4 linked regions of the Lepisosteus oculatus genome follow. The protein of the gene in region 2 interacts with the protein of the main gene of each other region in a biochemical or structural test. Links are inferred from orthologs where the notes say so. Each region holds a gene or a part of one and is shown on either strand. Other genes may lie near its edges. The genes, in order: dnajc3a, eif2ak2, tarbp2 and eif2a.

Region 1 (7,748 bases), on a different chromosome or scaffold from region 2:
CAGTAGATATTTTGTTAAGGAACAAGTAATAGGTTTATTCCATGCTGAAAAAAAGAAGAAAGAGAACAACGTTTCTGCCGTGGAGCCTTCTTCAGGTGTGAGAGAGACAGGGCAGTAGGCAAAGGTAAAGGTAAAGTAGCGGGAGAACAAAGGTTGGGAGGGAGGAGGAGTGAGAGGCGGGAGCAGGGGACAGAAAGAGAGGCCAATCAAGAGGTGTGAAGTCAGAATGGGTGCAGAGAGGTGTGAAATTATATTTTGTTAAGGCATATCTGTAGACTGACTTACTGAGGTGAAATCTGGTTTGAGTTCAATGACTTTACTGAGATCCGGCAAAGCTGACTTGGATTTCCCCATGGCCAGATAAACTGTGGCTCTTCTGTAATAGGCCAGGTAATTTTTGGGGTCACCATCTGTTGAACAACAGCAATTACAAAAATGATAATAGCCTGCATACACATTTAAGTCTTGGTATATTACTTTGCTGGAAATAATTTGTTTATTCTATGAAAATACACAACGCAGAAAGAATCAAAAGATACATTACTTCCTAGGTATGTCTCTAGTTTGTAATGCTGTAGGCATATCTGGACTAATGTCCCCCCCCCTGCAGTATGTTGGCATAAGCTAACAGAAAAGTGGTGTGGCTTTTAAAAGAAAAAAAACTTTTACACACATTACAGAACAGATGCTTTATTTTTCTGGACTGTAGCCCAGCACTGATTCAAAATAAAGCGTTTTTTGATGAGCTTCTTCATCGCAAAAAGAAAACACAGTGGATGATGTTTCCCAAATCAGGTTTTTCTCATTTGAGATACTGACCTACAGCAGCATGAAAGTGAGACAAAGCATCTGCCAACTGTCCGGCAGCCAACAATTTCTTTCCCATTTCCAGATGGCTCTCGAGTCCTGCATTCTTCCCACACTGCACTCCTGCAAAGGGGAAAAGCCATGAGCTTTCAGGTAATCTGAATCTTGAAAGTAGAGGTGTTCTCCTTTCTAACTGATTCCACCACCTATGCTTTTAAAAAACAATATAAACTCATCATTAGCACCATTATTGTTCCACACTTCTCTTTCACAGTCTTTATCCTAACAGAGAAATAGTTTACTGCATTTAGATAGCAGTCACCATCCAAACAAATCTCCAACCTTTCTACATACAGTAGAACAGGGGACACTTCATTCAGCACTGGAGTGTAGCACAAACCTTAGTGATGGCCACTACATGCTGCCCCACTCATTACACAGCAGATCAGAGAGCAAGAATCTGCAACACCAGTTCAATTAAGGGCTTAATATTAGCAATAGTAAGGTCTGATTGAGCAACATCCCATAGAATCTCTAATGGCAAGTAATCAGAATTTCAGTTAAATAACACTTGCTAATTCTTTCTGCCCTGCTTCCTTCTCGTTTTTTCAGAAATTAAAGAAATTTAGCTTGGCTTGCATTGCTGCCTCACAGTGATGGTCCTGGGTTCAATTCTACGATGTTATCTGTGTCGAGTCTGTATGGTCACCCTATGTTCATGTGGGTTTCCTCCCACAGTTCTAGTTAACTGGCTCGTGGAAAACCGGCCCTGGCATGAGCGTGCTCATGTCTGTGTCTGTGCCCGACGATGGACTGACATCCCATCCAGGGTTGCTTGCTGGGATAGGTTTGGGCTGCCCCACAACTCTATTGGATAGAGCAGTTAGAAAATTCATAGACATGTTTAAATTTTGGGGGGAAAAAAAAATGAAGGATAGCACAATGTCCTCAGTTACTATCCTTGAGCATGGTTTCTAGATTCTTGTACAGAGGGACCAGTGTCCCCAACTAGTCCACGATTAGCGTTTGCACAAGCAAATATCAGTTCAGGCGAGAAGGCAGGTACTGTTACAGACAATTTAACAGACCTGGAAAAAAGTATAAACACTTATTAAAGGGGGTTTTTACATCAGTGAGTTGCAACTGGAACTTTAAGAGACATTCAGCTTCTGATATTAAATGGGTGTGCAGTCAGCTATATATCCCCATTTATTCCCCATAAAAAAAAATCAAAAGATTTCTCACAAATTATAAAGGTATAGAAAAGACCAAAGGGGATTTAATTTCACGTTCAGCTAAATATCTTACTAAAGCTAAAATCAGTACCAAGGTCACATTTAACTAGCAGCCACTTTTTAATTTATGAGCATAACTCATATCTCTTAACATTTCCGCAGCAGCAAAATCATTTCCAAAAATGCTAAAGAATTTTTCAAGATACGATTTCCAATATAATAATTTAGCTAGTACTCGGATGATGCGATATCTCCTTAAAAACAAATCAAGAAGTTATAAAAAAAAACAATGCAGGAAGTACAATAACTAATAAGTGAGAAAAAAAACTTCAATTTCGCACGTGAAGTCCACACCATTTACAAATCTTAAATTTCACTACTACCATAATCGTTATTATACCATAAAACAAGTACGGCACACAGCTATTTGTTATACTCGCAGAAGAAAGCCTGTACTATATGTGAAATCATCGGAGCAGTTTGTTTTTATCAATCAACATTAAAATCCACGCTGACAGCTTCTGCTCAGCAGAGCACTGCTGCACGTCTTTTCGTCTTTTATTAGATTTGACTCAATACAAGCTCCTTTGGGCGGCACACAATGATAAATCCATACACTCTAGCAATGAACTCAACTAAAAATAGGTTCTGGCGACTTGGGAAGAATAAACCATTTTTCCGACTGCTCCCCATAAACTAAGACTCTACAAGAGGCATCACGCATCTGGTACTGTGCACTCTGGGCAATACCAACCAGCTGCAAAACCAGCGGGCTTGTCAAACTTTCTTGACGCCACGTCTGTTCGTGGAATTGAAGAAAGTCTTGTCAAGTCCAGGTAATTACTGAAGAATAAAATAATTTAATAACGGCATTGAGCGAAGATGAAACGCATAATCTTTCCCGTAGGAAAAGGCAGTGAGAAACGGCAAAAAAAAAACAAACTTACCTTCATATCGTAGGTCAATCAAAACAAGAATATATGAAAAATAACATAGGACTTTGCGTGCAAAAGGGCCTACTGAAACCATGTTTAATATTAAAACGTTACAAAATTTAATTAAGCGTGAAGTTTAGGCTACCAGAACCTTGCGGAATTGCAATACTGTTTTTTTTTCTATTTCCAGCCTTTAAAGTTCAGCACAAGTTAACTCGCCTGGTCGTGGGTTGCTCCGATTGGATGGAGGAGTTTAAAATCCCACCCCTTGCCTCTAATTCAACAACGTGGAGCCACGGCAGCGTTTCGGGGGGAGGCAATAGCGTGTCAACTGGACCTGATTTGGAAATGTTTCACATGCAGTATCCGAATTGAGTTACTTAACTCGTAAGAATACCTCGTCCTCTCTACTTGCAGTTTTCTAGGTAGATTATTCTGTTTTAATGGTGGCATTACAGAGGCTGTGGTTGTTTTTGTCTATAATCTGTTTCACATTCGACTCGAGCCATAACAGTGCAGGTATCCATATGTTTTTGATAATTTTAAAACTCCAACGACTTTGGGTCACACAGTATTTACACTACAAATTATATCTGAGAGGTAGTTCGGTTCTCACTGCAGGTTTCAGTGGGCATCTGCGGTACCGCGCTTTGGGTGCAAAGAAAGAAAAGGTAAATTCTACGTTCAAAAGCAGAAAAAATAACCTTTCGGCAGCGAGTCTTTTTCACAGGTGTGAAGAAGTCAGCTATCGGTATAAAAAAATTAATGAGTCGAATACATAGGTTGCAGTTGTTTCACATATACTGTATATCAAATACCATGCAAAAGTTTAAATTTAGCGATTAGTGATGGCACGCAATAATTATCACCCTGTGCAAACTACATACTGTAGACACTTCAAAGAAGGCCTGTATCAAAGTAGCTATATCTGTGACGTTAATTATTGCTATTCTTTAGCTGAAACCTTTACTCAAGGTGACTTATATCAGAATCATTTTTTATACGCAACTCAAAAGTTACAGGACTGGACAGTGGCATAATAAGTATACAATTAAAAATGATATAATAACTTTAAAATATGTTGCTAAATAAACAGTTCAAGATATACTATTAACATCAAACTGATGGACAGCAGGAACAAAATATTGAGAAAAATGTGTTGCACAATATTTTATGGAACAATATTGTATCACTTTACTGAAATACAGCTTGTTGAGAACTAGTAAATATAATGTATAATCCATGTATGTTGCATGTCTAATAACTGAAAAAAAAGGTATTAAGTCATGTTTTAGTGACATTAACAAGTATTTTTTATATTTTAGTAACAGGTATTTAATAGGCTTTATACAAGGGATGTCCATCATGTTTAAAATGCCTTTGTGACCTTAATTAGTAGTGCTATTGGACTATAGGGTGTTCTAATCGGGCCTAGACGTATTACTAATTTAAATTTGATGTAGATACACAAAATACTTTGTCCATATTACCATTAGTTTATTCCAGCATATTTTTTTTCTGCTCCTACAGAATGAACAGAACTCTGCCCTCTTTTGGTTGTTACTACAATAATGTCCAGGCATAATCGTTGAAACATCAAATTTATTTTGGTTCCCAATTGCTCATGTTTGTAGACTGAGCAGACAACCTCATTTTAGACGGGAATAGCGGAACAGATGAAGCATTTAATTTGCATCATTCAAGAATTCGCCTGACCTCAGTATTTGAAGACTATTTTGGAGCCATCTTAAGAACCCCTGCACTGATTTAATTGAAACTTGGTGAATCAATATCCAAATAAAGTGTTTTTATCAGTTTTTCACCTGAAAAGGTGTTCTGATCACTTTTACTCTCATGTCATAAACCGTTTCAAGAAACTCAACCTGTCGTGCAACTGTCACAGTATGGGTGACACATTAACACATTAAATGCTTTGCTATGTCCTTGAATATGCCACTTATAGAGGGTGATGGACCATTTTTCTCCTAGCTCAGGAGAACCTAGCTCCAGAGCCACCAGTGCATCCACAGACCAGACAAGACACTTATCATACATAATACTCCATTATATACTGTAAATAAAACCTCATAATACACCGATTCCTATGACCACTCACCCAATGCACAGAACAAACAATACAACTTCCTCATAGAGCAGTTCCCGAGCAGGACCCCAGTCACCAGAATCAAATGTCCCAAATGAACAGTCTGGCTGTTCACCCCCGAACTGTCTGGTAATTATCAAGTGTCTGTGTAAGGACCTTGGTTTTTCACTCTATGACAGTCCCCCTACTAAAATGTTGGTCTTCCTGATGCACTCTATTCCTGGTGCTATCTTTAATCCCCTAGCAAACCTCTGCAGGTACTCACGTTATCCACCTGCCAGTGTTTCCCTGATTCCAAGATCCTTTTCCCCTAATCTTGCCTCAGTTTCTGGAAGTCCACTGGATCCCATTTGGAATATACTGTAATAAATCTTGTCTGAGCTCACGGCCTGCTGAGCTCCAAAACCCGCCTACCTAGCAGTAGGTCTTCAGAGCTCAAGCACATCTGAGCTTGTGCCCTGCAGAGTTCCAGAGGACTGCCTGCCTAGAAGTCTCACAGGGGCTTCTCCCTGCCAATATGCCTCTGCACTATAGGGGATTTACAATCCCTGATTGCCCTGCTCCTCCGTTGCAGCACCTAGGGCTGCTCTGGACAGTATGCCTAGGCAGTAACATAGGACCCAGAAACCTTTTCCCCATCTCGCCTCTCTTAAATTTGCAGGGCTTTCACATGCCTTCACAGTTTCATGGTCCCCACAATCCCAGATTGCCTACACGTCCACTGCAGTGCTAAGGGTTACCCCAAGCAGTATGTCCCTGCAGTGTTGGGGATTCACAATCAATGTTACAGTTAATGGACATGGTTGGAAGGCTTGAAAACTCTGGCTATGTTTTTGTCTTCTGGCTTGTCGATTTCTATTTTGCTGATACAGTGGAATAAATATTGGTATATTAAAAGCTACAGTAAAGGTTTTTATAATTGTCCACTGTTTTTCACGTCCTGCAGCCATCGAGGTTCACGAACACTAAAATGAATATTGAAAAGGAAAAAAAGAAAAAATATGCTCAATTCTAGCTTTTATTTTCCGTGATGGTGTCTCAGGGAGGGTGATTAAAAGGAAGAAATTGCCAATGCTTTCGACGGCCATTTGGGGGAGCCAAAGCTTCACAATTGTAAACGAATACCCTCCAGTTTATTTGAAAGCCACAAGAATGATTATAGTTAAGTGCTAAAAAGAAACGGTCTAAAGTCTGAAATTTATTTAGTAGCCCATTTCACCAATTATCAGGATGTCCATAATCAGAAAAAAAATAAAGTAAATGATAATCTTATACTGTGTATTGTAATTATGTGTTATGTAATAAAGATGTATTTTACGCTCACAAAACCTCAGACTTTTACCTGACTAGAACAAAGTTTATATGTCAAGCAACTTTTCGAATTTTAGAAGTGTTTAAAATGGAGTGCCTTAAAAAGATCTGTATATCTGAAATGGATGTGTGAGGATTAAATCCCGTGAAATTGTGGGTTCCAGTTTGGAGCTTTATTTCTTCTCAATTGGTAAATATAGTTAATATAAAAACAATACAATTAAATGCAATGAGGGTGTATATATAGTCCATATCCCCCTCCACTCTCAGTCTGTTTAACCAAAACACTAAAGATCTGAGTCCTATAAGTGTTTCAAAAAGTGTGCTTACTCTTGTCACAGATAAGAGATGTGTATCTCCGTCATCAGTCCTCCTATTTTTCCAGCCATCCAGTCTCTAACCTCTTCAGCTAACTCAGGGTCACAGGGGAGGCAGAGCATTTCCTAGCAAGCAATAAGAAAAAGCAGTGTGTATACCCTGGAGGGGATGCCAGTCCATCACAGGGCACATCATGAGGGAACAGACACAAACACACACACTCTCATACCAATTTTCCTAAAAGTAGTCTACCAGCATTTGTTGTGGAAAAAAACTCTCACACACACAGGGAGTACATACAACCAACACAGATCACACACAGGGTCTGGAATTGAACCAAGAGCCCCAGTGCTGAAAGGCAGCAATGCTAATCACTATACCACTATGACTCCCACACCTCTGTTTTTTGTTCCACTTAATCACCACAAGAGCAATTCTGCCCAAACTATCACACTTGGTCTGGCTCAAATGGTCTGCTGTACACACCAATTATTGTATTGCTCTACATGTCTGGATTACTCATAAAATGACATTTTATGAGAGGTCCACACAAAACATAAATTAAAAATGCATTAGTTGCATTCCTGGTGAGTCTATTTTATTCTATTGCATTGATCAACACTGGGCTCACTTGTTGCTTTGCTTGTCTGTTCTTTAAATGATGACTGTTTAGCTCCCTAACTTTAGACACATGGGGTTGTTGTGACCAGTTCCTTCTGTTGTAGTGGCTGCGTGAAAGAAATCGTAAAGAATAAACATGATGAAATGTCAATCCTGGTGCAGAATTGTGACTCTGAGATCAGGGTCAGTCATTAGCAGGCTGAAATTGGCTGCACAATCTTGCCAGATTAGACATTGCTATAAGCTGTAAACACCCCAGATGGTGCCTGACAGTGCCTTGACTTAGTCCAGCCTGCAACATACCGATGGCACAAAGCCATTCTTCTCTTGATAAGCAGGACATATTGGATCCTTTCTGTGCTTGTACTACTTGATTACTACAACTGGCTCGGCAGTCTATGGGATAAATCAGTTCAA
Region 2 (7,347 bases):
CCGATAAAGCAACCCTCTGGATGGGAACTCATCTCTTCTCCGCTTGGTTTTTTTTTTTGAGGTGGCTAAATTCTTACTGTGGCATGTGTGGTGGGCCTCCATCGCTCCTCTCAAAGGGCTGTACAAGTACCCCTTTCTTCTGACCATATTCATTCAGCCAGCACAAATGGTTAATTCCCTGAGTAGACACAGGTGAAGGACAACTGGATTCCCTGCTGCTGTTGACCTGCAGTAAATGGCATTGAAGCAGATTTTATATTCATTCACAGGTTCTAAAATTTCACAATAGGTTTTTTTTCCTAATTAAATTCAGACCCTAATGCTGGTTCTCAGTAAACGTTTTCCGCATCTCTTGGGAATCAATTATCCATCCATCCATTTTCTAACTGCTACTTCCAGTTCAGAGTGGTGGGGGAGCTGGATACTATTCCTGGCAAGCAACAGGCACAAGGTGACAGACAACCTTGGACAGGACATCAGTCCATCGCAGGACAGACAGACACACATACTCACATCAGGGCCAATTTTCTCAGAAGTCAATAAAGCCACCAGTTTGTTTTTGGACTGTGGAAGGAAACTGGAACACCTGGAGGAAACCCACATAAACACAGGGAGAACATACTACCTCTATTCAGACAAAGTTTACGTATTGTTTGGTCTTACTTAAGGGGGTCTTGCAGTTTAATGTTACTTCCTCACAGTTCTTGGGTCCTGCTGGGGGTGCCTCCCAGGTGTAGTTCACATGATCTCTCCAAGACCATGTGGGTGCTCCAATTTGCTCCCAAAATCCAAAGACCTGCTCTGTTACTAGGTGGATATCTAGGTTAATTGCCATCTCTAAACTGTATGTACACTCTACAATGAACGGGTGTACCATTCAAAGTGCATGCTGCCTTGTGTCTATTGTCTGCCAGATTAGGCAGTGGATCACCACAACCTTGAATTGGTCTAAGCTATTATTTAAAATGGACAGATGGTATATTTTATTTGAGTATACATACTGTAAGCATGGTCAAGGAAAGCACAGAGTAAGAGAAAACCGCCCACGCTGATACTCACAGGGTCATTCTGCTGAGAAACTTCGACCCATAGCTTTTCCAAAGCATTTTTTGCGGCATTTTGCTTCGCCTCCCTCTTAGACATTCCAACGCCATCAGGATAAGCCTGACTGTCCAGCACCACTTTCATTGTGAATCTGTATAACACAATAATGCAAACGTACTGAGTGCAAAAAAATAACTCTTAACGGGTTTTAATCAAATATTTTAAGTATGGAATATAACTGTCAGGCAGAATCACAGAACAGAAATCCAAAACATTTTCTGAAATTCAAAGTGAGAATGTTACAAAATAAAGTTACTCTAGTAACTCAGCCTCCTCTGAAAAATGAACACAATCCCAGCACAACTGATGCATAGGTCTGATTGGCCTTTGGACAGAGTCCTGTGGGACTGTCCACCACTCTTCCTGTGCAGCTGCAGACAGCTGGTGAAGGCCGGCCAGTCATGGTTGACTTGAATGCAACACATTGCTGTTGTGAGCTTAGCAGGTGCCCCTATCTAAGGTGACAGAGTGTAACATATTGTAAATCCTCCAGGTGGCAGGAATTACATTCACAAGATGCCTCCTGTAGTGTGCTTACATCGTCTTCCTGCAAGAGTGGCCACTTTACAAGTAGTCTTAACCATGTTGTATGTTCCTACTAAATGTGTTACCTCCTTTAATTCCCCATGGAAACAGGAAATCTTCTGAAGCATCTATATAGTTCCAGAATATAATTCCATTAAGGTTCTAAACTATAGTTCCAAAACACTGTCTTGCAGAATATCATTGTCAAATTTGGATTTTAAAGGAATACTTAGAAATGAAAAAAATGGAATTCAATTTATGATAAATATAACTTTGTACAATGCTATTGTGATTGCAGTATAACATTTATCACTGTACTGTTACTCAATATACATTTTCAGATCCATAAAGTGCTACATGATGATTTTGAACGTGGAATGAATGAGTTAGGAGGTGTTGTCATTTTGCCCCTTTCAGCTTTTCAGTGAAATAAGCACAATCCACTCTAAATTGTCTAGCTGCTTAAAATCTTGAACCTACAGTATAAGACTTGATCAAACTTTAGGATAAAACTTACTGTCTAACATGGTCTGGCCCTTCTGCGGAAACCTCCACATATTGCAGGGATAAATTATGTTTTTGTCGATATTCATTCAGTCTTCCCACATAATTCATTTGAGACATTGTAAAAAATACCTGAAAGACAATTAAATACTTTACCTAATGTCCTACTGTAATTCTGTACTCTTGACTGTTTTTATTAATGACAGCTCATCTTGGTTTTGAGAGAAACATGTTTTTAAAAAAACTGTATCATCTTATAATTAAAGTTTCTTAATAATGCAACATCATAACAACAAAACACTGATGCCAAAATGTAGCATATGCTAAACACATATCTTTTCTTTCCTCACAAAAAGTAGCATAATTCGAGTGGTCATATAAATATTCTCTTATGATACTGTTCTCTTGCTTTGGAAAACAGACGACTATTTGGACGTTTAATGCAGACCTCTTACTCCAATATCATAACAGTAACTTGAAAGCCATATTAAGCTTGATTCACTGCAAACAGAACAAATGACGTTTAGTCACCTTCACCATCATTAACATCAATAACATTAACCGATACAGATAACTCATTTATACAAAAAATACATAAAACGAGATTCCTTCACACGAGAAGTCCTACTTGTAAACAATGCTGCCTATGTCATAGAAGAGTCTTGACTATAATAAAAATGAAGAACACAAAGCAATTAACAGTGTGCCCGTAGCAATTGTTTATGGAAAAGAAAAAAACATACAAATAATTAAGAAATAATTCTGATTGTTACAATGTGATTGCAGGAACATAGCTGGAGAACGCGCACTAAGTGTTAAATCAAACCAGTATCAGTACTACAGTTGCCGATAAAAATAACGTTCGTGTACGCTGCTGCAATCCCCCGTTCTTGAACCAACTCCTAACAAAACGAAGCTGAAGATTAAAACCCGACGTTGACTCTAATCTCGCAAATAAATATCAGTATACTTACAGATCATAAACCTATGTTGTGCTTGCCGTACCTGCAGGTTAGTGCACGACTGACTTTAAATTTCACTTCACCCTCTCTCCCCTTGCAGCTCAGCAGCAAAGTTTAGTTTCATTTCCCACTCCAAACGTCACAGCTAGAACAACTACCGGTACTGCGCAGCCAATCAGCTCCGCCAGCCTGCTAAAATATGATACTACACTGCAGGACGGGAGCTGGCCTGGGGTTAAGTTACATTTTAAGAAGGATTTTTCTTTCTAAAATGATGATATTACGTGGTTTCAATTTATGAGGATGGAAAAAATCGAATGATTTGTGCGTGCTAACTTCAGTTACCAATACGTGTTCTTTGTAATTTAACATTTTAGGAAATGCATTACATTCCGGGTAACTGAACAAGTATGTCGTTCAAATTGCAAACAAGAACGTGTCTTTTAACCTTTGAAAATGTTTCTATCCCAGCACACTGCAAAACAACATAAAAAGATTTTTTATATTCAGATATGCTTTTTTAGATTTCTGGTCTTTTCTTTATAACTACTGTCACTCTTAGTTTAGGTTACCCATATATTTTAACACCTAAAACACAAAAAAAGGAATATACTATTGATTAAACAATGAATTACCTTAACATTGGACATTGCATTGAACTTCATGGATGTGATACAAATGACCAAAGCATTACCAACAATGTTTCAACTTTAAGTAGTGCAAATGTGACTGTATTACATCCTATTGCAAGACTCGACCAAATGCTTTATTGAAGGTAAGCTACTGCAACACATGAAAATATTTTATTTTCATTTTACAAAAAGGACAGTACATAAAATATACAACTAAACAACACAGATGCAATGTGTACTAACCACTTTTATGAATACACTTAAAAACAAATACACCATTGCATTTTAAACACATTATTAATAGTTCATATTTTAGATGCAAGCAATGATGTTCTATTTGTTTATATGTTTAAATCATAAATGTTTATGATGTTTATACATAGAATTGCACAATTTGCAAAAAATTGTAAATAAAATTGCATGTTATTATTCGTATTCCATTTCATGACCACAACAACACAACTAATGCATATTTTACAATGTCAACATATCTGTTAGTATTTCAGCTCTAATTGGATCTATCACGGTGAATTGTAAACCTTTATCTCCTTTATATGTAAACCTTAAACTTTTGTCTGCTGTTTTGTGATTGTGGACATCAGATCACGTCTACTTAATCACACATCCAAGGTGTACGTAGGATCAGCTTTATCCCACATCTAGGCCTGTTCCGTCTATATTATTGTTCCCAGAAGGGCCTCCTCCTCCTTCTTCTTGTGAAAGAAGGGCATCATCTGAAAAGTTTCAGTTTCCTGTTCAGCCCCTCTTCTGGCCTGATCAGTCATGGGCTGCAGACGAGTCCCCAGGGCAGTTTGCTGTCAAGTCTTCTTCATCTGCAGGGCAACATAACTTGAGTCAATTCCCAGCCTACAGCATGCATACTTGCGTCAACAAAAATGTTGGGCAAAAACCTATCCACCTCCTACCATGAAAAGTTTGAACAATTTTGCTTGCATGTCAAAGCAAACATTCTCAAATGAACATACTATATATAAAATTTTACTTTTGAAACATTTTTTTCCAAAAACAACATTGACGTTTCTTCCGTGTTCAAGGAGTGACGGGGGCATTCATTACCGTCACTGGAACAGTCGTTACCTTGGAAACTTAATATCTGCGAAATAATAGTTCCAGCAGAATTTTTTAAAATGGGACAAAATAGAGAAGTCCACCACAAAGCAGTTTTTAAGATCTCTTCAGAGCCTCAAAAGGTCTGCATAGTTTTTAGAGAGTAAAAATAAAATATACTATTGCTGAGGTGTAGATTAGTAGGTGTAAATTAAATGATCATATTTAGTTACAACAATCATTACTGCAGCCTAGTTCTTTACTTTTTTTTACAGAGCAGCTTAGACAAACATGAATATGAGTCATAGTGACAGTCAAAGCCCTGAATAATGCAAAGTTTTCCTAATGGTATGCCACTTGGGAAACACTGACCTAGAGAATTCAGGTATGTTCAGTCTATAACCTACTAAAGGAGAAAGGAATATTACAATGTTTCGTAGTTTGTAGCCTATGAAGTTAGAAAAAATACTCATCTAAGTAACAGTTATTTAAAAAAAATAATTGTTCCGAGGCCATGGATTATAGCAGAGATGTATAGCTATAGCAGTACAGTACTGAAGCACAGGTACAATCAGCTAAATATTTAAGATAGGCCTTAGAACTTTATTGTAGTACATCCTGCAGTAATCAATGCATTTCTTAGTCTTACCATCGTACGATGTCCCACACCATATGCAGTAAAAGTGCACTCCCCTCAGATATGATGTCAGAATCTGTAATTTTTCCAAAGGCTGAGAAAAAGAAAAAGTAATACTCTTTCTTAATCAAATAGTTGAAAGCAAAGAATAATAATAATCCTTACACTTACATAGCACTTTTCTGGACACTCCACTAAAAGCACTTTACAGGTAATGGGGATCCCCAGGGTAAACATCCCTTTGGTACAAACAACTGAGATTTCTGTCTGATTTCATGAGACTCTGCAGATCTTATAGCTGTCTAATTGCAGCTGGCAACAATCTTAAAAGGTTTGATATTCAAGTAAGGAGATGAAATGCTTCGTGGCAAATCAAATGGTTATCTACACGCACAGGCAGAGAGAAAACAGTATTTTGTTTCCCTTGGTTTTCTTGACAAATTTTAAGGCCTATGCAGCAAGGTTGAAAGTGAAAGGGTATTACTGACTGTTAATTCCTCTCCCTCATCTTCTTCCTGCTCAGTTTCTTCCTCCTCCCCCGGCTCCTCAGTCCCCGACACTGGCCAGTACCAGTCCTCCCTGGGGGCATGGATCCCCTGAGGACATGGGAGAAAGAGCACATCGATCCATGTGACGTTTCCTCAGAAAAACAACTAGAAAACATAACTGCTCCTGAGCCAGGCCTTGATCCAACACCAACAGCCACCCAAAAGAGAATTAATGCTAGGCTTTATGCCCTGGTTAAATCCCTAGACATGTAAAGTGTTTATGTAAAATAAAAAAGTTGAAATGTGTAATGAGACTGTAAGCCCAGCCATGGTAAACCAGCCGATGGGAGATACTGTTTTGTCACTAACCTTCTGGCTGTCCAGCTGTTCACAGGCACGCTGGCTTTTCCTGAGATCTGCATCAGTTTGTCGTTCCTCCCTTTCCGTTCTCAGTCTGACTCTGAAAGGACCCGGAGCAGTGAGGAAGCCTCAGGATTTAAAAACATCCAATTACACTGTACTAAACTAGGGGCAGATTGTGTACCTCAGATCACTGACCACTGGGCACTAAAAACCTATTTCATTTGGTGAATCAGGCCTGATTGCAACATGGTTCTTCAAATAATAAATAGTTTACCCACAATAAAATAACTGATAAAGATACAAGAAAGCAAATAGGGATTACAATCTGCAATACAAACTATCAGAATATGTGTTGTTCTTTGTTCTATTACCTGAAGTCATCCAATGTTCTCTTCTCGACTTGCTGCTTAAAGTTTGCTTTTCGCCGGTAGTGCTCCAGCTTCTCCTCAGCTTTTCGTTTTTTCACTTCCTCCATCCCAATTCCTCCTCGATCTAATCAATAACAAGCACAGGGCTGTCCTGAAAGCTTTGCAGCTTCCGAGAGTGAAATATGTAGGATTTGAATAAGGACAAATAAGGTCACCTCAGCTGGTCAAATCATACAGATTATACAGAATGTGTCCAGACATTTACTGAATACCCACGAATAACTGGAAGATGACTTGATGATTTTAACATGCCCTGTTCAAAACATAGCTTGAGACTTTTTTTTAAAAAACAAACTCTCTCATTTTCACCATATTTTTTCATCTTAATTCACACCATAAACAGCACCAATATTATATATTAACCATTACATTTGTAAATGGTCAGCCATACCTGTTTTTAACTTCTATTTAATTTTTATTTTTTCTGACATACAAGAATGACCACAAATAAAGTTGAAAGTTTTCACATCACAAAACACAAAGTATTATTATTACCTGTTTTGATATTCAATGGGATAGGTTCAACTCTGCCAGCCCCTTTAAAAACACAAACAATACATTAACCAGATGTCTATCACCACATATATATATATACCACATATATTCACAGCGTGAATGTACAGACGAGAAGAATCA
Region 3 (8,085 bases), on a different chromosome or scaffold from region 2:
TCCAAGCCAGTTTAGCATACCTGCAAAGCACCCACGGGATTGCACTCTGCCTGCTGCACGGAGTTGGAGACCTTTGCCTCAGACTGGGAGCTGGGATAGGAAGAAACACACCAAGTTCAAGTCAACGAACTGCTCACGATCGCACCCTTCGCTGGGGGCCACCAACCCAGGTCTGAGCCGAAAATAACTACTCAGCCTTTAACTACAGGGGAAAACGGAAAAACACCCTCTTTGTCAACTCCCTGCTATACCAGAGTAGGAGTAGTCCTGGGTCCAAATGCAGGTGTTCAGGCAGATTTAAGATTCGGGATTCACTCCCATTCCATGTTTATGAAGAATGGCACCAGGTCCAAGTACAACTCATGTAAACAGGTGGAAGCCGACAGAGGGACCATAAAAAAGGTGAATCTTGACTAATTGGAGGAGGGTATACTATTTGTAAACACTACCTGAAACCAAGTCTATGGAAATAAAAAGCATGCAAAATCACTGCCTGAAGAAATGATAACAGTGGACATTGCAGACTAAGATGACACTTTTATTATGAGTAACAGAGGCACCGGACACACCCACCTGATTCCATCAGCTGATATCTCCATCATGGTGCCGCCCTTCAGGAGTTTGAGTGCTGCCTCTGCTGCCTTGTGCTTGGCTGCCTTCTTGCTAGGCCCCTGACCTGCAACACAGACCCAGGACAGCTTTCAGCAGGACTTCCCAAGGCGAGTTTCAAGAGCAGCTCTCACAGCTCTCCTTAAATCAGGATCTACAAGCCCTGGCCCTGGACACACCCACCGCTGCTGATTCAAGTTCCAGCTGATCTCTCAAGTCAGGTAATTGAACTCTTAATTTACCTATTAATAGGACTACATTTCAGAGGGGACCTTTAAACCGCTGCATTCAATTAATAAGTTATGATTGCCAACTTTTAGTATACAGAAACGTGCAAAAGTTTGCAAGCAATGTGTTAGGTCAACTAAGTCAAGAGCTTGGCTGGAACCAGCACTGTTATTATATTGATTAGTTTGTAAGATCTTTTAAAATTGCCTGCTAAGTCAGGCCTGTGCAGGAAGGTCTCCTTAATTGAGTCAGTAATTGAGTCAATCCTCCTGGAAAAAAAAGCAAAGTTTAATCCATATCGATAAAATTAAATAAGCTGTTCTTCTGGAATGCCTCTGGCTAAAGGCAAATCCCAAAGGCAGACACAGGCAAAATCTCACCCCCAGTTCCTGCTGGCTCTCTTTTATATCTCAATCTACAGTTTCAAAGTTGAAGTTTGTCTTAAAATTAGGATCACAGATCGTGGATCACGGAGTCCCTGTTTTCTCAGAGGACAGGGCTGCAGTACTGATGACATCGCCCGTCGAAACGCACCAGGGAAATCCGGGCGCAGACTCGCGGCCTGCCCGGCGACCCACCTGTGCAGCTGATGTCACCCACGGTCACGCGGAAGGTGAAGTTGGGCTGGTGTGCTTGTCCCTCAGCCTTGAGCAGATCGTACACCGGGGTCTTCCCTATCCTCGTTCCATACTCCTGCAGCAAACTGATAGGGGTCTTTCCGGGGTTCAAAGCCAGCATTTGCTCAATACTGATGAGGGGGAATGAAACAAAAAAGTCTTGTTTGAAAAGACTAGATCAATACAGGCATTCCTCCTAGTAGACACTCTGACAAATTGAGTGAGGAAACAGCTATTGTATCCTCGGCAACTGGGTTAATTAAGCAACTGATGTTCAGTGAAGTAATTAATTAAAATTAAGTAATTAATACCAATAATGCCTACTTTTTCTAGGATATATGCTAGTACGGGGCTTCCCAATCCTATTCCTGGGATCCCACAGACATATGTTTTTATGGCAGCCGAGATCTTTCATTGAATCAACAAATTGCTTGGTCAGAACCTTTGAAAGTTTCTTCTCAAAGACTGGAGATCCTAGTTACTTAAGAACTACAACCAAGTTAAAAGACAGCCTCCTACATCAGTGTCTGCAAGTGTCTGTTCCAGGTTTCTTTAATGCAGCGGTACTTGAGAAGCTGTTAAACTGATCGAGTTGATCCATGTGTTTATTTACATTGTCAAAAGCTGCCCTCCGGTTCCTGCACCGGACACCCCTGTCCTCCATGTTTAGGAACTGAAAACGATTGAAGAGTTTGAATTCAAACCTATTAAGGGAACAATCGTGTAATTATGCGCTCAGATGGCGCACAAACCAGCGGGGATGTGAATCCCTTAGTACCAGAATTGGGAACACCTGGGCCAACATCCCTAAATTGCCCCCCGCGGATAGATATTGGAGAGGTAGCTGGAGAGATAAAAGAAGGACTCGACAGGGGAAGAAAGCAGAAACAGAGTGATGGGTCAGGATTTCGAGGTGTCGGAATAGCAGCTGACTATCGGTCTCGAGCAGAAATGCATCCGAATTCTCAACATTGTGAAGAAGTGCGTTCAAGGGAGAAACGCGGTCGTTTTATTAAGATGTGTGCGAGCAAACCGGTAACGGTACCCCTTTTAAAGACATATCAGCCGGAGGAAAGAACGAAGAATTTCATAACCCAAATGTTTATTGGGACTGTAACAAAACGCGTAGCAAACGACCGCGTCAAGGTAACGGATAAAAGCAAGTTACTCAGCCATGTTTGCGTTACAATTTAGTGCATAATTTCGTATTAAAAACGAAACAAGCCTTTGTTGTAGAATCCTGTTTTCTGCTAAGGGGGAAATAAGTGGATACTAAACGAATATATTTTAACAGGGAAATCCCACACACCGTTCATTCTTTCGCACGCGAAAGGCACGATTCTCTGCAACTTGCCCCCCGGTAGTGCTCGGGGCTTACCTTGGGCACCCAGAGTTTCTCTTGCAATTAGCCGGGGTTTTCTCGTCGCTCATTCCCCGTTTACGGAACGAAAACGTGATAATTTCGGATTCCGGACACCCCCCTTTGAACAAATTAACCGGTGTTTTTCATTCACAGCCTCTTCAGCAGCAACATACAACCGCTCTTGAGCGCAGCAGCCGGCTCCCATATCCGGGCCTGAGCAGCTGCATTCTGGGAAATGTAGTTTTTTTTCAACAAGGGTAAAAAAAATGCAAAACGTTTACATGCGATAGCGTGTGCCAGTGAGATGCAAACCGGAAGGGAATCTGGAGCTATGCTGTACATATGTGCACGGTCAATTTCAGAGCACGTGCGCGAATCCGTAATTTAGGACTAAGGTAAAATTCCCGTGCGGCATGCAAGCCTCTCTAGATTTGGACGCATGTATTAATTCATGCTCCACGCATCACGTTTCCAAACCTGAAATCATATGTTCAACGTATTTGGGTACATTGGCAATTATCTCAGCGTGTCGGTTGAGGGTGGAATCGAGCGAGCACTTAATACTATCAGTACGTGCCAATAGCGTCTTCTCCCTTGAAGAACCACCCAACTAAAGTTTGTTACTGCTCATCTCAAGAACTGGCTATAACTAAGGACTACAATTCCCAGCAAACCCTACTCGTGTCGCCTCTGAGCTGCGATTGGCTGGTGGGTCTTATTAGTACGTTATTAGTCACCCTAGTCGCTCCGTCGTAGCGGGAGGGGGTGGTGTGAATGAGTTTCGGCCAATCGGCAGCTTTCTGTTCCAGTTTACTCCGTTCTGATTGGGCAAAGCCAGGCCAATGCAGTGTATCGCTCGCACCGGTTCGCTCCTCCGTCGCCGACTGGTCGGTGGGTTTTATCGTTGTCGCCGGGCTATGGAGGGGGTTTTGCACAAGTGGACAAACTACTTATCGGGTGATTCATTATTAATTAATAAGTAGCTCGAAACCGCTCGAAAAAGTATTAAATCTTAGCGTGCTGTCTTATTAGTGAAAGACTGTCAGGTGAAGGCGAGTCTTGAGGCGATGCTGTCAGTCTTAACAAGTTTTGTCGGTTCATTCGGCCAAAAGCATCTTTGTAAACGTAGCATAGCTGTTCGGTAGCAGACTGAATTTAACATTCATGTGCGTGCGCACTTGTGAGCCGTACTAAAACTCTTAGATATTTTTACATCGTTTTCTGGTTTAGGTTTTGTTTCGCTTATTTCAAATGTCTGCGCATTCTAACTTCAGCTGTAACAAAGTTATAGTTAACGGCGAACTTCTTTTTGTTTTTTTGTTTTCCGTGAACATAACGTATAACGGCCATCCACTTCATGGAGGCTTCGATCGAGTCATATTTCCAAGCCACTGAGTCGCACCTTCACTGTATTTCAGAGGAATCTCCTAATTTTTTCATCTAGCTTCCTTCTGGATGCGTCACGGGTTTGTGAAGGGGGAAGAAAAGTTTAATCTCTCCTGCGTTAAACCGAAGCGTTTTAAATGTAAAAAAAAAACTAACACGAGCGTTGAATTTGTTTTACTTATGCTTTCTTTTAAAAAATGACGCTTTTAAGTTTTTTTTCCTCCCTTTTTAGTGCGTAAAAGTGCTTGATTTGTTGTTTTTAAAGAGCTCTTTGATATCAGCTTCTCAGTACAGTAGATACAGTATCCGTACGCCGGTGAGCTACTGCTTCACACTTGGAAAATTTGAAGGTTGACTGTTATTGGTCAGTGCTTTAACTTAGACTTGGTTAAACTGGAAAGGGTTCGCGTTTGTGTTGCAGAACGGGGAAAAAAACAACCTCCACTTAACTGTAAGTGATCATGACCTTCATGACAGTTGCTGCTGCTCAATAAGTTGCTTCCCCAGGTTGTAGTGAACGGCTAGCGGGTCGTCTCGTCGGCACAACGCTACGGGACCTGGGTAGCTTTCAGAGCCGGAGTGTGTCCCAGCTCCTCTCGTGTTGCTTCTAATAGTCGTTCAAAATAATTCAGCTGGAGGTTCGGTTATTAAAACCCATCGGACTAGTAACTGTAGAACAAGTGGCCTCCATCAGTGTCCCACCCACCTCTCTCATGTCATGTTAATTCTGATGTCTTTGATCTTTATCCCGAGTTCAATATCTGCTGTGGTCCAGAGTCTGGCCCCGTTTCTCAATCCCAATCCTTTTCTCCCTCTCTTGCCTCTGCGGGGTGAAGGGTGGCAGCCCCGCTACTTCGTCCTGGACGGGACAATCCTGTCCTACTACGACTCCCTGGAGGACGTGGGGAAGGGCAGCAAGGGGAGCATCAAGATGGCGGTGTGTGAGATTAAAGGTAGGTGGCGCTGCCGCACCCTTCTTGATGGACACACCGTGGGCCACTTTCCCTTGCGGGAAGAGCATTGTTTCGAGATGGGGGGGATCGGATCTGCTCGACCTTGTGACCCCTGGCTGGGCCCACGATTCCTTTCTCAAAGCTCCCTTTCCTTCGTGGTTTGCTGGACTCATAAGAAAGGGTTTAATATGACTGGCAGGGCATTGGCTGCTGGTGGCCTACTGCTGCTTTTTTATTGCTTGCCTCTGTGGCTGCAGGTAAACCATAAAGGTAGCATTTTAGCACGTGGGTCTGCTACAGCAGATAAGAATTGATCGGCAGTACAGTAATGTGCAGACCTGCAGCCCTTTGGTGGTGATGGTGCTGTTCACAAGCAGAGAAAATGTCTTGAAATATCCATAGCGTTACTGATTCATTTAATAATAATTCCTTGCGCTTATGGAATGCTTTTTGGACACTCCACTCGAGGTGCTTTTTAGGCAATAGGGACTCCCCTCCGACACCACTAATGTTCAGCATCCACCTGGATGATGTGTCAGTACTCTCACTGCACATCAGCTATCAGTGGGGAGGAGAACAGAGCGATGAAGGCAGTTCAGAGATGGGGATTATTGGGAGGCCATGATTGGTGAAGGCCAAGGAGAAATTTTGGCCAGGGCACTGGGGTAAAACCCCTACTCTTTTCAAGATGTGCTCTGGGATTTTTAATGACCACAGAGTGTACATACCTTGGATCTATGTCTCATATGAAGTTTACAGTATAGTCTCCCCATCACTGCACTGGGGCATTAGGACCCATATAGACTGTAGGGTGTTCGCCCTCTACTGGTTTTACTAACACATCTGATCAGCTGATGTGTGGTGAGCGTTCTGGCGCACTATGGCTGCCGTCCCATCATCCAGGTGGGGCTGCACATTGGTTGTGGTGTAGGGGAGTCCCCATTACCTGTAAAGCGCTTTGACTGGAGTGTCCAGAAAAGTGCTTTATAAGTGTAAGCTATTATTATTATTATTATTATTATTATTATTATTATTATTATTATTATTGCAGCAACCTTAGCTTTCCCAGGAGGTCTCCCATCCAGGTACTGAAGAGGCTCGAACCTGCTGAGCTCCAGTGGGCTGCCAGTTGTGGGGTGATAGAGCTGCTGGCTACATTCAGGCTACAACAAAATGCTTGCAGAAAATGCTCTGAAAGTTAGGAAGAGCAAGGCGATTGGATCATAGAACTGGAGGGATAGCTCAATATATTGCATGGCTTTTTCTTATCGACCCCCTCCAGCCCCCTCCCTGGTTTTCAGTGTACTTGATTGTTAGCAAAGAAGGGGATCTTGTAGAGGGCTTACATTGCCAGTGGCTTCACACTAGTGCAGGAGGCTTACTTATGGACCAATTGAGTCTTTATTAAGTGAATTTAACCCTTCTGTCGCTGCTGAGGTGAGGAGACCTGCAAGTGCTGCTGAACTGCCCCCGGCGACCCTCTAGGAGCAGAGCTGATCATGTAGGAGTCAGGCGCAGGTCTCTGCCAGCGTTTCTGCCAATAGCTTCAGGACGTGGCTGCGATTTAAGGCCAGGGTCCCGTGTTTCTCTCCAGTGCACCCGACGGACGGCACGCGGGTGGACCTGGTGATCCCCGGGGAGCAGTGCTTCTATCTGCGGGCCCTGACAGCGGGCGAGAGGCAGAGGTGGCTGGTCGCCCTTGGCACCGCCAAGGCCTGCCTGGCGGACAGCCGGACAAAGAAGGAGAAAGGCAAGGTCACGGGGGAACCGCAGCCCGGTGGCGCAGCCCGGGGTATTCGAGCGCCACAGCCGAGGGAGTCGGGCAGAGCTCGGCCACCTGCACTCTTCCTTTCAGCTCCAGCGCAAGTCTGTGTCTCAGCTCCTCCGTAATTATTACAGCGACCTTCTGCACTTGGGTAAATTAACCAGTCAATGGGCTGGAAATACCAAAATCCTGTATTGTGGACTGAGTTAGGCGATGGGATGCTTTGTGATGGGGCACACAGAGCTGAGATGGGTCAGAAGAATAGTCAGAGAGGCCATTTGCCCCATCTAGCTCAGCTGCATACCTTTCCCATTCGGAACATTTCCCCAGGGATCTCATCCAGCTGTCTCTTGAATAAAGAGCCAGGGTATGTCCTTGTCAGTGTGGCTGGCCAGCTTTTGGCCTGCTGTGCAAAGGAAAACCTCCTGCTCTTGGTTTTAAATGTGCTTCCTTACATACTGTACACTAGTGTGCACTGGTGTCCGGTGCCTAATCCGCAATGGCTCATTATCAGAGGTGCCAGGCCAGGAGTGAGGCCTCCGATCGGAGCTGATGAGCTTGTGGGAAGCCGCGTGGGGGGACGGCTTCGTCTCTGGGAGGAGAAAAGATATCTGTGGGGAGGCAGTATTGGTTGTGCCAGTGGGATACAGGGAGGCGGTGTGGAGGGCCGCCAACTTCACAGCAGGAGGCAGTGGGCTCCTCTGAGCCGCGTGTGAAGCCTGAGTCAGTGTCTTCCCTGCGCAGAGCTGAACGAGGCCAGCCAGAGCTTGAAGGGGAAGATGTCCGAGCTGCGGCTGTACTGTGATCTGCTGATGGAGCAGGTCCACAAGATCGAGCACTCTGTCCAGCCTGGGGAGGGAGGCACGCTGCCAGACACACAGGTATCTTGCCAGCGCCACTCGCCCTTCCCAATTTGCCTTGCATTGCTTTATAACCCAGGAGTGGCGCTGTCTTTAAAAAGCCCAGCTGCTGATCAGCAATGACCTGATGATAAGAGCTCTAGTAGCACCTACTACTGATCCGTGCCAGAGGAAAGACTCATGGCGTGGATTCAGTTTAAGAAAGCTCTGCCACAAATTGTAGAACAAGTTGAAAGTGGGGGGAAAAAACCTGAAAAGCAAATTGATTGCCGCTGTGTTTTTGTCTTTATCTAACTCCATGTTG
Region 4 (7,148 bases), on a different chromosome or scaffold from region 2:
AGCTCTCCCCGCACATCTTGGAGAAGTTACCCTCTTCCCTGCAGGAGCGGAGGGATAAAAAAAACAAACAATTTCTCCAGATGCCAGTCCTCCAAACACCCGCACAAAGGCCTGCTGAGGGCTCGGCAGTCACGCAACCCACAGGCATCTGACATCTGCATACAAGAGCAGTGCAGATAAAAAGTTTAAATTTTAATCCCGAGTCAAGGGCGCTGGGGGGGGAGGAGGTTAGAGATACAGTGTCAACAAGCCCGGCCGCCTATCGCCGAGATAAGCCGGCGAGTCGATCCCGAGAGCAGCACCCTGCGCCCGCCGGCCCTGCACGGCAGGAAACACGCGTGTCCCCAGGTGTTTCCACGGCGCTAGCAGACACGAAAGTGCAGTCGTACTGAAACCCGAAGTCTCCCTCCGAGGGGCGCACCGCGCAGCCGACGGTTTCGATACTATCCGACACGCCAACGGGAGACTTGAGAAGTCCGTGCAAGGAACCTGGCGTTCGGACTTCTCACCTTTCCGACGCCAAACCCCTCTTAGTTTTTTTTTTCTTTCTGGTTTTGTTTTGTTGTACACAGGAGATCCTCCTTCGCCCGGTTCTGCGTGCCAACGCCACGAACAAGCAGCGCTCGGGTGACCGAGAACATGCGAAAAAGGAAAGGAAAGCAAACTAAACTGAACTTCGACCCTCCCGGGTGGGGGGGAAGCTGCCAGAAACCCCCCCAAAAAAACCCAACAACAAACAATCAAACAAACAAAAAAAAAAGACTCCAGCCCACCTGACCCACAGACGACAAAAATGAACAGCGCCAACAACCAGGGTCCGACGGAGACTTTGTCGTCCTGAGCGTTTCTCTGAAAAGCAAACAGACAACAAAAAAAAGCCGAGATGAAAATGTGGAAAGTGACAAGATACACCCCCAGGGTAGGAGCTGCTGGGGCGGGGGGGTAGAGGGGCTCAGGGGCAAGTCGCCCCTCTGACAGCCGGACACGTCGCGCATCTACTCGGCACCGACCGAGACGCGCAATCGCCCCTCTCCTCGCCAGCTCCAGCCCGACCACCCGGCCGCTCTCCTCGCACTGGGGCGGGGGGCTGTGATTTTTTGCTGCTGCTGATGATGATGATGATGATGGCGTTTTAAGGACCGGAGCAGGAATCGCCGCGTCGCCCCACACTTGCACAGAGCTGGGGGGGAGTAAAGAAACGCGACTCCCCAGACGGACCCCGCGGGGGGAAGAGGAAGGAGGAGGAGGAGGAGAGGGGGAACTCGGGCACTTTTTAACGCCGCCGCCGACTCCCCCACCTTCTCCTCTCCGTCAGAGACACGCCAGGACTCACCGTGCTTTTGGCTACGTTGCCTCTTTGCGTGATGTTTTTGCTGTGCTTTTCGTTTGCCATGCGAATCCTCTGCTTCGCCACCATCTTGTTAACCTGCTGCTGCTTTTCTCCTCCGTGCGTCTGTGTTCGGTCCCCGGGCCGGGCTGTGCTTTGCTGCTGCTGCTGCTGCTGTGGCGGCGGTGGTGGTGGTGGTCGTAGTAGTAGTAGTGATGATGTGTGCAATGCCGATATCAGGAGAGGACTGCCAGCTCGCCAGCTGCGATGTGTCGCCCCGCACCAGGCTGTAATAAACAGGGGCCCCTGCCTGCGTCGACACACGCTCGGCCCCTCCCGCCGCCTGCCCACGCCGCCGCGGCCAGCGCAATCCTTCCGCCGGGCAGCCTGGCCTGCGATGTAGTCCGCCATAAAAATCATGATTCATAATAATAACTTTATTTTATATAGCGCCATTTAAAGGTGGCTTCTCAAAGCACTTGAGAGAGTGACGGCAATAGAAAATACACAAGATGTGCACAATGAGGAGACAGCAGAGGGGGGGACTGAATACAGGAGGAGCAGAGGGGTAAAGAACAGAACCAGTTCAGTAAGGGCTCTTCTGAAGAAGAAGGGTTTGAGTCTGGATCTGAAGGAGTTGAGAGAAGGTGACTCTCTGATCTCCTTGGGGAGAGAGCTCCAGAGATTGGGGGCGTAACAGGAGAAGGCCCTGTCACCCCCAGAGTGTAGACGGGCTTGGGGGACAGACAGGAGACCAGAATTAGAGGAGCGAAGGTTGAGAGGATGGGAGGAGGACGATAGTTGCCTTCCTCCTTTCCCCCTCTGTGCTTCGCAGAAGATCTCTGCTGTGTTGTATTCTTCTTGTGGAGGCCAACAGAGACAGTTCGACAGCTGTGTGACGGGGTCAAGAGGAGAACTTGTCAAGCTGAAAACAGGAAGTAAACCTTTTCAAGTCTTGATCGGAGAAGACTATTTATTTAGAGAATGTGAAATGCGAGTGAATTCATCGAGTTCCTTAGCAGGGCAAGAGAGACCTTCTTAATGGCTCATGATGGACAAATCCAGTTTACACAGTTTATTGATAACCTGAAACGGATATACAAAGGCAAAAAGAAACTGATGATGTTGGCGCGGGAGAGGTTCGGTTGACGGAATTCTGTCTCTTTCTTTTTACTTGAGCCTGCCTTTGTATCCTTTTTAACTTAAAATGAAAAAAAAAATCAGTCACAGAGCCACACCGATATTATATGTGTATTGAAAGAGAAAATTGTCATGTTGTGGAAGTTTGTGTGTTTTCTTTTATTTGTATGAGAGAGAGGTTAAAGAGAAGAAAGTTTTGGTTTACCCCGCGAATGCGAGGAGACTATGTTCCAGACCCGGCCCGGTTACTCAGAGTCCTCGAAGGCTCTTGTCGACCCAGCAGGGTTCTTCAGACTGAGCTATCGAACATGAGCCGTGAGACACAGGTGGAAACGAGGGGTTCACTTTGAAACCCCACACTTTGGGGCGCTTGTTTCATGAAGGTTTGTGTGGCGTCTGGAACAAGCTGCCCAGGCCAGGGCAAGATGCTCAGATCAGTTATCTTCCCACCACTAAATAATATAGGATCACTTTATTGGCCCTATACAATTTCTTGCATTAGGAATGTGTCTTTTCGCAGACCCCAGCTTGCTCTCCATGAGACACACAGACAGGGAGAGAAGCTGGGGGTCAGAGCGCAGGGTCAGCCATTTATACAGTGCCCCGTGAGCAGTTGGGGTGAAGGGCCTTGCTCAGGGGCCCAGAGGAGTAGGATTCCTCTGCTGGCTGCGGGATTTGAACCAGCAACCTTCCAGCCACAGGCGCAGATCCTGAGCCACAGAGCCACCACTCCGCCCTAAAAGCACGCTCCCCAGATGAGACACAAACCCACAATCCCTGGCTTGAGATAGATAGATGAGGTTAGTGCCCCCTCTCCTTTGTAACTGTTCCTATTTTAACAAGAATTATAACAATGGCGCGTGAGAACTATGTGGACAAGAAGTAAAATTGATAAGTATCAATGTTAATTAGTGATAAGTATTTGCTAATTAAAAGTTCCTTTAAATCTCTACCATGACGCTCGGCTTTAACCAACCAGCTTTTGCTGAAACCCCCAAAATTAGTCAACCAAGTTACAGCACTGCCCAGACAAGACTGCCTCACACACTGGGACACCGCAAACTGGGAGAGACCACTGAGCAGAGACAGACCCGATGAAGTACAGGGTCAGTGACCACTGCCTGGGCACAGAAACTGGACACACGCAGACCTGGCTGCCCAGAGAGGACGGGCTCACTGACCACAGCCTGGATGTAGAAACTGGACACTCAAATAATAGAATTATGTTTTTGTTCTGAATGTTTGTAATTATGTTCCAAATTGTTACTGCTCTGGCAACAGAATGATTCATCTCTTATGCCAAAAACAAAAAAAAGCTTTGAAATATCAGAGCCATTTAATTTTCATTGCAACAGCAATCAAAATATGCAGAGTATTACTTTTAAATCAGGTGTTATACTCTTATATCTATGTATCGCAATACAGCAGCACTCTGAAGCCGAAACCAGCAGGAATTCCCGGCCGGACCTTTTTTTTTCCTGACGTGTGCATTGATACACGTACACGCGTTTCGGGTGATGCGGTCGGGTTTTGTCGACGTGTTTTTCCCTGTGTCTGTCTCATGGGCCCACACTCACTTCCTGTCCCTCCCCTTCCGGTGCAAGATGGCGCCCCCCACACCAGTGTTGGCAGGTCGGTAGCGTGATTATGTTGCTTTGTTGGTCGTGTGTGGTTATGAGGCAGTCGGCAAAATGTGGAAGACAAATTTAGTTAACTGGCCGTGTAACACGGGTGGATGTCCGAGATTGCCCAGTGAAACTATCTAGGAGTAGAGAGATGTTTTTTGCTCAACATCCCTGTAGAACCGTTCACTACACCATTCACAGTTTGGTCACGCTATTTCTAGGTGCAAACATAAAACTAAAGAAATAATAAATGTAAATAAACTGAAATAATAAACTTAAACTGTGTACTACCCTGGGTGTGTTTTGGGTATTATATGTGTAACCGTGATCTTGATCAGAAGCAGTATGTGCCCTTCAAGGCGATAAAGCTATATTCGGGTGACTTTATATTCGGTTATGCTCTGAAATAAAAGATCGCCCGACGTTTTACACAATTTGCTTGGCGAACACGAAGCAGCGATCCTGCCCTTCCGGGGTTTCAGGTGCAGACACTGTGTTTGGCGTTTACAGTTTTTTTATTAAGAGGACATTGTTTCTGTCACTATCGCTGTCAACAGTTCGCGCATCGAATGGAACATCCATGATCTATGGCCCTCCAGACTGTGTCGAAAATACTGTCTTTAAAAGGTATGTTATTGCAGGGTTATAGGTTTGACTGCAGACAGTGCGTATTTCTCCAGTTAACGTTTTTACTCAAAACATGTCAGTTTGCCTTAAAAACTTTCATTTCGCTTGATTTGTCTGGCGCCCAGGTTAAAACAAGTATAAAGGGGGAAATTGAAATGATAAAGTTGTTCTTAGGTTGATACGGGTGCACGATCTAAGTTCAAACATGCTCTGGAATGACTTAAATGTCCCTGCTTGTTGTCAGTGCTGTTTCAGTGGTGAGATGATGAGAACGCCAACAATTGTGTTTAAATGGCGTTCTCCTAAATCCTGTTTGATCTGGTTTTTTTTTCCAGGGATGGACGAGCAAGTAAATTTGTGACGTTTAGCAGAGATGGTTCCTTGTTCGCCTGGTGCAATGGAGACAAGTGAGTGATGCCTTTGGCCCCGAGAGGGGAGAACAGACCAGCCCTGGCTCTAGCAAATAGTCAGGTTTGAGCCTGTTTGCTGATGAAGTCTTGAGTCTGTCGATGAAGTAGTGCAATAGAATAAATAAGCTAACTAAACATGAATCCTGTCGCTGTGTTTCAGTAAAATTGTACTGGTCTCTGTTTTGTGTGCATTTCGATTGTGCCGAGCTGTGTTGTTGCTCATGAAGGGATACTGGTCCGGTGTTTAATAAAACTGAATGCCGGTACTGGAGCATGAGCCCGGACAGAAGCGTGTGGCTTTCTCCTTCACAGGGTCAGTGTACTTAATGTGGCAGATGGCAGAGTCCTGCAGTCTCTCGACCTCCCAAAGACGGCCTGTCTGGAGTTCTCTCCCAAGAGCTCCATTCTGGCAACATGGCAGCCTTATAGCAGTATGTATCCCCGGACACAGCTCCCTCCTTTCTTGCATTTGCCTGACAGACGCAGTTGTCTCTGTGGCACAGAGAGCAATCACCCTCCTTTGTCTCTGATACGGCCACATTCATGCACAAACCTTTTAGGATACTCTGTCTAAACTGAGTGTTTATGCTACCGTCACATTTAAACACACATTTATTCCTTTTTAAAAGGTCTCACATTCAGTATTTGGGGGCAGAATGCTCCTCTATGAAGAAAATAGGATGTTTCTGGCTCTGTGCTGGAAATCAGAAAATCAGAGTGTTGTTCTGGTCTGTCCCAGAAACGCAGGAGAGTGCTCAAGGAGACCCTAACCTTCACCTGTGGGATCTGCAGACTGGGAAGTGTCTTAAATCTTTCTACCAGAAGAAAATGCAGGGCTGGTAAGTGTGGCAGGGGTTTTCAGAGCAGAGTTACACTTACGGACGAGAGGAGTTCATTCAGCCCCCTCTCGTTCGTCTGGTAGTTGGTAGCTAATTGATCCAGGGATCTCGATCATCAGGGAATTGTCTTCAACAACATGGCTGGGCTGCCTTTTCTAGACCCTTTACGTAAACAAAAGGTGCGTGGTTTTAAATGCACTAACAATTATTAAATGCATAAACGGTCACAGTGACACACAGCAGGTGAAATGTTGCTGACGAGTCCGATGACCCCAAAGTGAAGAGCTGCTGTGATGCTAGAGAATCCTAGAGGTGTCGAACGAGGGTTCGTTCCACACTGGTGGCGCTTAACTCCCTTTCTTGTTTCTTTAGGTGCCCAACCTGGTCCGATGATGAAAGTATCGCCGTCAGGAATGTAAACAACGAGCTCCATTTTTTCGAAAATAACAAATTTGGTGAGCAGCGCTTACGTTAAGAGCATGAGCTACTGCAGCAGTTAAAGAAACCGCGGTGGCGGCCCCAGTTCTGTGACAGCGCTGACCCCGACCTACACTGGGTGCTAATTGAAAGTGGCTGGATAATAAAAATCTGTTTACAAGGGGACTGAAGCCGCTTCTAAATTTCATCCCTTGGTTTCCTTGTGGGAAACGTATTAAAACCTGAGAGCTGATTTCCTCAGAGCAGTGCTTTCAGAGAAGATGTGCTTTTTTCTTTGGTCCTTATAAATCGGCATGCGAAATAATATTTTCTGTCGCCAATTTTCAGCTGTAAATTATCATCTGAGTCAACATCTATATAACTAAATTTGGTGTGTCAATGTGTCATATTTAAAGACTTTTGTGAAGCTCAGAGGCAATTATCACGCTTCCTCAAGTATAAACATGTGTAAAAAGCACTGTGTAGCAGAAAAAATCGACGCAGAGATTCAGGTATAGGCATATTTCACTTTCTCGGTTTGAACAGATTGTTTCTAGGTGTCTGAACTGCCTGTGTTCAGGGTGCTTGCTTGTACCTCTTACTGCTTGCATGTGCAAAGTTGCTTTTCATGGTCACCATGTTGGATAACAGGCTAATCTCTTTAATTCCCCAGTCCTAAGACATAGTCTGTACAGAACAGTATCGATCGTTGCACTTTAACGATCAGCTCGTCCCTGCTGACAAGCCTGTCAAGTGTGCCGTC

What was found.
Region 1: the proteins of eif2ak2 (region 2) and dnajc3a form a complex in vitro, tested with the Homo sapiens proteins (2 studies listed by BioGRID). The link is inferred for Lepisosteus oculatus from reciprocal best matches to the Homo sapiens genes EIF2AK2 and DNAJC3.
Region 3: the proteins of eif2ak2 (region 2) and tarbp2 form a complex in vitro, tested with the Homo sapiens proteins (2 studies listed by BioGRID, with this or other methods). The link is inferred for Lepisosteus oculatus from reciprocal best matches to the Homo sapiens genes EIF2AK2 and TARBP2.
Region 4: of the proteins of eif2ak2 (region 2) and eif2a, one has a biochemical effect on the other in vitro, tested with the Homo sapiens proteins (4 studies listed by BioGRID, with this or other methods). The link is inferred for Lepisosteus oculatus from reciprocal best matches to the Homo sapiens genes EIF2AK2 and EIF2A.

Annotation. Positions count from the first base shown.
Region 1 is NC_090710.1:7,087,793-7,095,540, forward strand, and holds the start of dnajc3a (dnaJ homolog subfamily C), read right to left. Parts: upstream 3,181-7,748; 5' UTR 3,072-3,180; coding exon 2,990-3,071; intron 931-2,989; coding exon 820-930; intron 411-819; coding exon 286-410; intron 1-285. UniProt on the Homo sapiens protein: Involved in the unfolded protein response (UPR) during endoplasmic reticulum (ER) stress.
Region 2 is NC_090712.1:6,726,606-6,733,952, forward strand, and holds the start of eif2ak2 (interferon-induced, double-stranded RNA-activated protein kinase), read right to left. Parts: upstream 3,252-7,347; 5' UTR 3,108-3,251; intron 2,266-3,107; 5' UTR 2,254-2,265; coding exon 2,147-2,253; intron 1,196-2,146; coding exon 1,060-1,195; intron 227-1,059; coding exon 78-226; intron 1-77. Other genes in the region: gpatch11 (G patch domain-containing protein 11), read right to left, coding at 4,505-4,560, 5,445-5,526, 5,921-6,028, 6,290-6,380, 6,655-6,775, 7,207-7,248.
Region 3 is NC_090696.1:17,891,947-17,900,031, reverse strand, and holds the start of tarbp2 (RISC-loading complex subunit tarbp2), read right to left. Parts: upstream 3,056-8,085; 5' UTR 2,886-3,055; coding exon 2,833-2,885; intron 2,436-2,832; exon of another isoform or gene 2,337-2,435; intron 1,586-2,336; coding exon 1,416-1,585; intron 677-1,415; coding exon 574-676; intron 91-573; coding exon 21-90; intron 1-20. Other genes in the region: pleckstrin homology domain-containing family A member 3-like, read left to right, coding at 3,660-3,708, 5,040-5,156, 6,751-6,906, 7,666-7,802. UniProt on the Homo sapiens protein: Required for formation of the RNA induced silencing complex (RISC). Component of the RISC loading complex (RLC), also known as the micro-RNA (miRNA) loading complex (miRLC), which is composed of DICER1, AGO2 and TARBP2.
Region 4 is NC_090708.1:2,572,475-2,579,622, forward strand, and holds the start of eif2a (eukaryotic translation initiation factor 2A), read left to right. Parts: upstream 1-4,003; 5' UTR 4,004-4,028; coding exon of another isoform or gene 4,029-4,071; coding exon 4,072-4,099; intron 4,100-4,649; coding exon 4,650-4,719; intron 4,720-5,054; coding exon 5,055-5,126; intron 5,127-5,441; coding exon 5,442-5,560; intron 5,561-5,868; coding exon 5,869-5,968; intron 5,969-6,340; coding exon 6,341-6,423; intron 6,424-7,148. Other genes in the region: stress-associated endoplasmic reticulum protein 1, read right to left, coding at 774-849, 1,334-1,417. UniProt on the Homo sapiens protein: Functions in the early steps of protein synthesis of a small number of specific mRNAs. Acts by directing the binding of methionyl-tRNAi to 40S ribosomal subunits.